Callithrix jacchus: one gene and its partner. The protein of the gene in region 2 interacts with the protein of the main gene of each other region in a biochemical or structural test. Links are inferred from orthologs where the notes say so. Each region holds a gene or a part of one and is shown on either strand. Other genes may lie near its edges. The genes, in order: HR and VDR.

Region 1 (4,372 bases), on a different chromosome or scaffold from region 2:
GGGGTGGGCTGAATCGATGCCAACACGGCCCTAGTCCTGTCCAGTGCTAGCTGCTTTAGGCCCCCTCTCCCCACGACCCCACTCTTCTCAACTGGTAGAAGGCTCCAGGTCTTTGCTCATCCTTAGGAGGAAGGCTTCTGGCTCTTCAGGGCTCTCCTCTGTAGGGATAATGGTGTGACTGGGGACCAAGCTAGAGGTATCCAGAACCCATCACTTTCATGGGATGGGAAAGAGGGGGTACAGCTTTGGTCCCAGGCAGGCCAAGGAAGCCTTCCGAAGGGGCAGGGAGGCAGGGGAGCTGAGGGTGGGAGGTGGGTGCCTGAGGGGAAGGGAAGCACCCGTTGGGCGTGTGGGTTTCTGTGTGAGTCTGAATCTGTCTGTGTGTGTTTGAATCTGTCTGTTTGTGTCTGCGCTGGAACCACCCCCGCAGAGGAGCCGGGATGCTTCCTCGGGTGGAGGGTGCCCTGCTTTTCCATTTCCTCTCCTCCTCTCTGCGCTCTCCTGGGAGCCACTCCCATGGGCACCTCTCCAGCGCCGGGCCTGAAAGCACCAGGAACCCTGGGGATAAGCAGACCCTCAGAGACCCGGGTCTGGGGCCAGTGTTGGAGCTCATCCTGGCCCATGACCTCTCCAGACATTTGGCGAAATCAAGACCCTTAGACCAGGGACAGACCCAAGCCCAGGCCCTCCCAGAGGTCCTAGGCCACAACCCTTTGTGCCCTTGAACTCTGGAAGGGGTTTGGGAAGGGTTTGGGGTGGAAGATGGCAAAGAGCCGCTTGGCCAGGTGAGGATGAGGCAATACAGACACAGGCCAGTGGGGCGTGCCATGGGCCAGAGCTGGAGAGGACCAGGACCCAGTGGCCAGGCAGGCACAGTCCGGCTGGCGTGGGCCAGAGCGCCCATCACTGACCCGTGAGAACCCGACTGCCCTTGCCAGCTCTGGCGCTGCCCCCTCCCAGCCGCCCCACCCTAGCACCCTGGGGGGCACCCCGCCCACCGTGGCCTGGTCCGGCCCCTCCCGCCCTTTGCTCCAGTTTTCCGGGCTTGGCACCTATAGTGGGGGTGCCGCCCGCCTGCCAGGCTCCGGGGCCGGGCCCACGGGAGGGTGGGGCGGCTGGGAAGCTGGCACGCTGCCCCGGGGGAGCCTCTCTCGGCAGGCGCCCGGGTGCCGCGGGGGGGAGGGGGAACAAAGGGCTCATTCTCCCCGTGCGCAGCCGGTGGCATCGCCGGGGCGTTGGCGGAAGCCCCCGGGGCCCGGGAGGGGGCAGGCCCAGACGCGGCCGCCGAATCACGGGCTCCTGTTTCCCGCAGGGTGCTGGAGGAGGAAACCGGCGGAGCAGCTTCCCCACTCTCAGTTGCGCGTCTGGCGATGGCGATCAGAGGTCCTGCTGCGCTCTCCGCCGCGCTCTTCCTCCATTAGCCGCGCTGCGCGGTGCTGCGCCCTAGCCGGTGCCTCTCTCCTGGGTCCCGGGATCGGCCCCCATCCAGGCACGACCCCCTTCCCCGGCCCCTCGGCCTTTCCCCCCACTTGGCCATCTCCGACCCGGGGCGCGTGTTCCCCCCGGCCCGGCGCCTTCTCTCCCTCCGGGGGCACCCGCTCCCTAGCCCCGGCCCGGCCCTCCCCGCGGCGCAGCACGGAGTCTCGGCGTCCCATGGCGCAACCCACGGCCTCGGCCCAGAAGCTGGTGCGGCCGATCCGCGCCGTGTGCCGCATCCTGCAGATCCCGGAGTCCGACCCCTCCAACCTGCGGCCCTAGAGCGCCCCCGCCGCCCCGGGGGAAGGAGAGCGCGAGCGCGCTGAGCAGACCGAGCGGGAGAAAGCGTTCTTGCCCGCCGGCCGGGAGGCCCCGGAGACCGCCCATGGGGAGCAGGCGCCCAGTGCCGGCCACGACGACCGCCACCGCCCGGGCCGCGACTGGCCGGTGAAGCCCAGGTAAGCGACAGAAGCGCGTAGTTTGGGGACACTTGTGGCAAGGGTTTTCTGAGCCGAGTGTGGTGCCCGCAGGGAGTGAGCTCCCCAAACCCCTCTGGGTTGGGCCACCCATTCTGACACCTGAAAGTTAGGATGCCCGACAGGGCCAGACCACGGTGGAGCAGTGGCTCCAGAAAACCTGGGCGCCCTCTGCCACTGCTCCGTCACCTCCCGCCTGGGGCTTCCTCGAGCTGGTGGAGGAGACCGTGCCAAGAGAGCGCTGCCGCTCTAGTGCCACCTGTCATCCTGGTCCCTTGCACGCACGTTCAATTTTCCCTCCCTTGCCTCTCTCTGGGGCCCAGCCCGCTTTCCCCGCCTCCTTCCCTCCCCACTCCCCGCCGGGCTGAAGTTTCCAGCGGCGGTGGCGGCTACACTGGCACTGCTGGCTGGGCTAGGGCAGCTTGACCCATCCAGCTGAGGCTTCTTAGTCCCCCTCCCCTGTGCTGGCGCGCTGCTCTTCCCGCTGGGGGCCAGGGTGGAGATCCTAGCCCCGGGAGTTGTCCTGGGACTCTGCTTGAGAAGCCGAGAAACTGCAGAGCTCTGGGAAGAGGCTGACTCAGGGCCGCCCAGGTGTAGGGAGAGACACAGCCAGCAGCCCTGGCTGGCAGCCCTCCCCATGACTCCAGCCTGCCAGGCCCTCACTTCCCACAGCTACAAGCCTGGCTGGGGTTATGGGCTAGGGTCGGGCTAGTAGCACTCACAAAACCACGGATTGCAGGACGGGGAGAATCTTCTGAGATGTGACCCAAGCCTCAAGGGCACACTGAGGTCCAGAGGAGTGACATGACTTGTCCAAGGCCACACAGTACAGGACAGTCAAGGCCAGGATCCAGCCCTTTTCCAAGTCCAGTGCCCTCCCTTTCTGTCCTCCCTCATGGCTCGAGCAGGTTTCAAGCCCAGTGAGGCCAGGAGGTGTCCGACTAGCAATGGCAGCCTCTGCTGAGGGGTGCTGGCCCAGGTGGCATTTGGGGAAGAGGTGATATTCCCACACTGAAGGAGCAAGATGCGTCAGGCTGCATGTGAAGAGGCAGCATGGTGCCCAGCTGTGGGTTGGCACTTGCCTTACTGGTTTGAGTTGCCTTGTTTCTGCCAGGGCGGTGCCCACTCTGTGGCAGGCGGTAAGGTGCTTGGGGCATGTGCCCCAGAAGCTCATGCTTTGATGGTTATGCTCCAGGGACCCCCCCCACTCTGGGAGAGCCCCATGAGGGCAGGAGAGTGATGGAGAGTACGCCCAGCTTCCTGAAGGGCACCCCAACCTGGGAGAAGACGGCCCCAGAGAACGGCATCGTGAGACAGGAGCCAGGCACCCCACCTCAAGATGGCCTGCACCGTGGACCGCTGTGTCTGGGAGAGCCTGCTCCGTTTTGGAGGGGCGTCCTGAGCACCCCAGACTCCTGGCTTACCCCTGGCTTCCCACAGGGCACCAACGACAATCTCCAACTTGTGGAGGGTGAGAGCACCCAGAATGGGGAGAGGAAGGCCAGCTGGCTGGGCAGCAAAGAGGGACTGCGCTGGAAGGAGGCCATGCTTGCCCATCCACTGCCATTCTGCGGGCCAGCGTGCCCACCTCGCTGTGGCCCCTTGATGCCTGAACCTAGTGGTGGTCATCTCAAGAGTGACCCCGTAGCCTTCCGGCCCTGGCACTGCCCTTTCCTTCTGGAGACCAAGATCCTGGAGCGAGCCCCCTTCTGGGTGCCCACATGCTTGCCACCCTACCTAGTGTCTGGCCTGCCCCCAGAGCAGCCACGTGACTGGCCACTGGCCCCGCACCCCTGGGTATACTCCGGGGGCCAGCCCAAAGTGCCCTCTGCCTTCGGCTTAGGTGGCAAGGTGAGTTCAGGGGCAGAGAGGGTACCTGGGGCTCTGGCCTTGCCAAGTAGCTCGGGTGGTCCCCAAGCTGCCCTTCCACTGTGATAAAAAGGGAAGGCAGCACCAAGGTAGAGGTGTCCATCAGCTCGGAGCTGTCCCAGGTCCCACAGCCAACCCCAGCAAGCCTTCCCATGAGAAGCTCCATCTTTAAGCCTCCCCTCCCCTCAGGTCATTGCAGCCGCTGACTCACCCATTGTCTGCCCAGGATAAGGTCCTGGGAACTCTGGCCTTGGAATGTATGGCTTCTCCTGGGAGGAGATGGGCAGGCTGGCAAGGCCACTCTATCTGAGCGTAGGATGTGCAGGGGACCCCATGGCCCGTGTCTAGGGCACCTCCCCCATAGACTACTCCCACTCCCAGGGATGAGATTTTAAAAGACTTAAAACGCAGTATGGCACAGGACACCAAACAGCCTGAACACACCCGGGATGCCATTTGGCTGTGCCCGGCGTTCACCCTTTAGTGCTAGATTTCGGGGAAGCCTCAGAAATCCTGGGGGAGGATGTGGGGTTGCCAGGACAGCGGCAGAG
Region 2 (2,959 bases):
TTCTGCCAGGTGGAGAAGATGTGGCTCACTGCTTCTCCAGACTGGGAGTGGGGAGGGGGTGGGGAGAACAGCCAAGGAGGAGTGGAGTGCTGGCTCTCCTGGTGGGAGGTAAGGCACTGGCCAGGGGAGGACGAGGATGGCGGGTGCTTTCTGAAAGCCAGGGACAATTCAGTCCTGCTACATGGGTCCGTGGAAGGAGGACTTCCACCTCAACCAAGCCCTTAGATCCAGGCCGAGGAAATGTGGCTTAGTGACAGGAACAGTGGTGGCCACCATCACTATTCTTCTGTGAGGCTGCTTTTGTCTGTTTTTCCTCCTTGGGTCTCTCAGCAGGTGGGTTTGTGCCTGGGGCTCCAGTAATGGGAAGAAGGCCCATCTCACCACAGCTACTGCCCGTGAGAGTACAACCAGGGCAGTGGACGACAGTGGGCACCGAAGGTCAGGGTGGGACGACAGTGGGCACTGAAGGTCAGGGTGGGTGGGAGCTGTGGGTGGATTAGTTATCATGAGTAGGCAGGAGAGGGAGATCCCACCAGGCTCTGGACGTGGGGGCCTGGAGTGGGGGAAGGTGTGGGTGTTTCTGTCCCTGAGGAATGGATGCATTTCTCCTGCCTGTTCCCTTGACACCAGTCAGCAGCCACTTATGCAGGGGTGAGGGCATCTCTGGGCAAGGCCCTGCCTCCAGCCTCTGCCCTCTGCCCCCACTTGAGTTTCTTTGTCAAATACACAACAACTGCTCATGGCTGAGGTCTCCAGGGAACAGGGAACGGCCTGCAGGAAAGGGGTTGAGTTGGACAGGAAAGAGAATGGGCCGGGTGGACAGGGGCGGTGCCCGAGGTGGGGCTGAACCCCAGACGGGGGTGAGGAGGGCTGCTGAGTAGTTGCCAGTCCCGGGCCCAGCATGTGGCCCTGGAGGAGCGGCCCCACCCGGGCACCACCGCCGGCTGCCCTAGTCAGGAGATCTCACTGCCGAACACCTCCAGCACAAGGGGCGTGAGCTTCATGCTGCACTCGGGCTGGAAGGAGAGGCAGCGGTACTGCTTGGAGTGCTCCTCGTTGAGGCTGCGCAGGTCGGCCAGCTTCTGGATCATCTTGGCATAGAGCAGGTGGCTGCCTGGGGGCGGGTGGCGGCAGCGGATGTAGGTCTGTAGCGTGTTGGACAGGCGGTCCTGGATGGCCTCAATCAGCGCGGCGTCCTGCACCCCGGGACGATCTGTGGGCACGAGGTGGAGGAGAAGGCACAGCAGGTCTGAGGTGGGCCCCTCACTGCTCAGTCCCGCCACCTCCCACCCACACAGACACGCAATGGCAGCTCCCTCTAGGCCACCCCTCTGTGGCCGCTGACCGGTGATACCACCGCTCGGCCCCAAAGCCCTTCAGAGACTTCTCCTTGCCTTTAGGATCTAGTCCCAGGTCCTTCCATGGGCCCACCTGGCCCTGGCCCTGGCCCTGCCTGGCCTTGCTCCCTGTCCATGCTCCGTCCACTCCTCAGCTTCCCGATGTGCCCTGCTCTCTGGCCACCAGCCTTCACATCTGTGTTCCCTCTGCTTGGAACTGTGCTCTGCTATCTTTGCCAGACTCCTACTGATCCTTCAGGTAACAGCTTAAAAGGTCTTCCTCCAAAAGGCCATTCCTGGCCACACTGCCTCCATGGCCCAGACCACATCGGCTTCCCTCCTTCTAGTCTACCCCTCTGTGGTATCATTTCCTTGATTTTTAAAACCCATGCCATGTTAGGAATTAGTTGTTAGATAGCATTTCTTTAATGTTTCCTCCTAAGCTTCATGGGAGAGGGGCCTGTGTCCTGTTTGCTGCTGAATCCCAGCACCCAGTACCCAGCACAGAGCCTGGTACCTGATGGGTGCTCAGTAAACTGTTGCTAGGTGGATGAATGAATGAGTGAGTGAACGCTGCTGGGCAGGGGTATGGGGTCCACCTCCATTCTTGAGCCTCCAGTCCAGGAAAGCATCCCTGGCCAGAGGCCACTAGCTTGTCCCCTGAGCACAGCACAGGCTGAGGCAGGGCCGCCCCTCTTTGGACCTCTTTGGGGACCGACATGACGTCCCCAAGGTTACGGTAACTTCCTCTTGAGCCTTTTCTCCCCCTTCTCACCCCTAATAAGCAGAAGAGGCCAAGGATCACAGCACACTGCCTCCAGAATCAATCAGGTCAACTGTCCAGGCAGAATCATCTATCAGACTCCAGGGTTTTGTACCCTGCCCCTGAGAAACCTCAAATGACAGCAGTGTTGAGCCCGGTTCACACAAGAGTAGGGCCTGAGCATCGGGAACCTGCAGGAACCCGACTTATCTAGCTCCTCAGAATCCCCTGTGAATCGCCCCTAGTTCCTCAGAATCCTACCTGCAAACTCTGTAAGGCAAAGCCAAGGGCAGCAAGGGGCTCCTCAATGTCCACACACCACAGGGGTGCTGGAAGCCAGCACAATAGGCCCTTTCCTCTCTGCCTCTCTTTTTGCTACTTCTCCCTTCAGGTTGCCCAGCCGGCCCTCAGCAGCCCCTCACACTCCCCACTCCCCAGGTCCCCGAGCTCCTCCCTGCACGGCCCCATACCTGGGGAAACGATGCAGATGGCCATGAGCAGGACATGCTCCTCCTCATGCAAGTTCAGCTTCTTCAGCCCTACCTGGAACTTGAGGAGGGGCTCAATCAGCTCCAGGTTGTATCCTGCTGTGAGACACGATGGCCAGGTACTATGGGCAGAGCTGCGGAGCCACCCACCCACCTCCAGCCCCGATGGGCCAGACCCTCGCCCTTCTCTCCCTTCAGCCACCTGCCACGTGTCTGATTGGAGCCCAGACCCCAGGACGGGTGGAGCCGGAGCCTGGGAGCTGGAAGGGGCAGAGCTGAAGTCCAGGCATACCTTTGGTCACATCACTGACGCGATACTTGTAGTCTTGTTTGCCGCAGGTCCAGGACATGTCGTCTGTGGTGAAGGACTC

Evidence for each region.
Region 1: the proteins of VDR (region 2) and HR form a complex in vitro, tested with the Homo sapiens proteins (2 studies listed by BioGRID and IntAct). The link is inferred for Callithrix jacchus from reciprocal best matches to the Homo sapiens genes VDR and HR.

What each region holds. Positions count from the first base shown.
Region 1 is NC_133514.1:19,357,050-19,361,421, forward strand, and holds the start of HR (lysine-specific demethylase hairless), read left to right. Parts: upstream 1-1,354; 5' UTR 1,355-1,653; coding exon of another isoform or gene 1,654-1,758; 5' UTR 1,759-1,934; intron 1,935-3,147; 5' UTR 3,148-3,191; coding exon 3,192-3,803; intron 3,804-4,372. Other genes in the region: protein HRURF, read left to right, coding at 1,654-1,758. UniProt on the Homo sapiens protein: Histone demethylase that specifically demethylates both mono- and dimethylated 'Lys-9' of histone H3. May act as a transcription regulator controlling hair biology (via targeting of collagens), neural activity, and cell cycle.
Region 2 is NC_133510.1:2,139,968-2,142,926, forward strand, and holds part of VDR (vitamin D3 receptor), read right to left. Parts: coding exon 2,881-2,959; intron 2,688-2,880; coding exon 2,571-2,687; intron 1,214-2,570; coding exon 954-1,213; 3' UTR 1-953.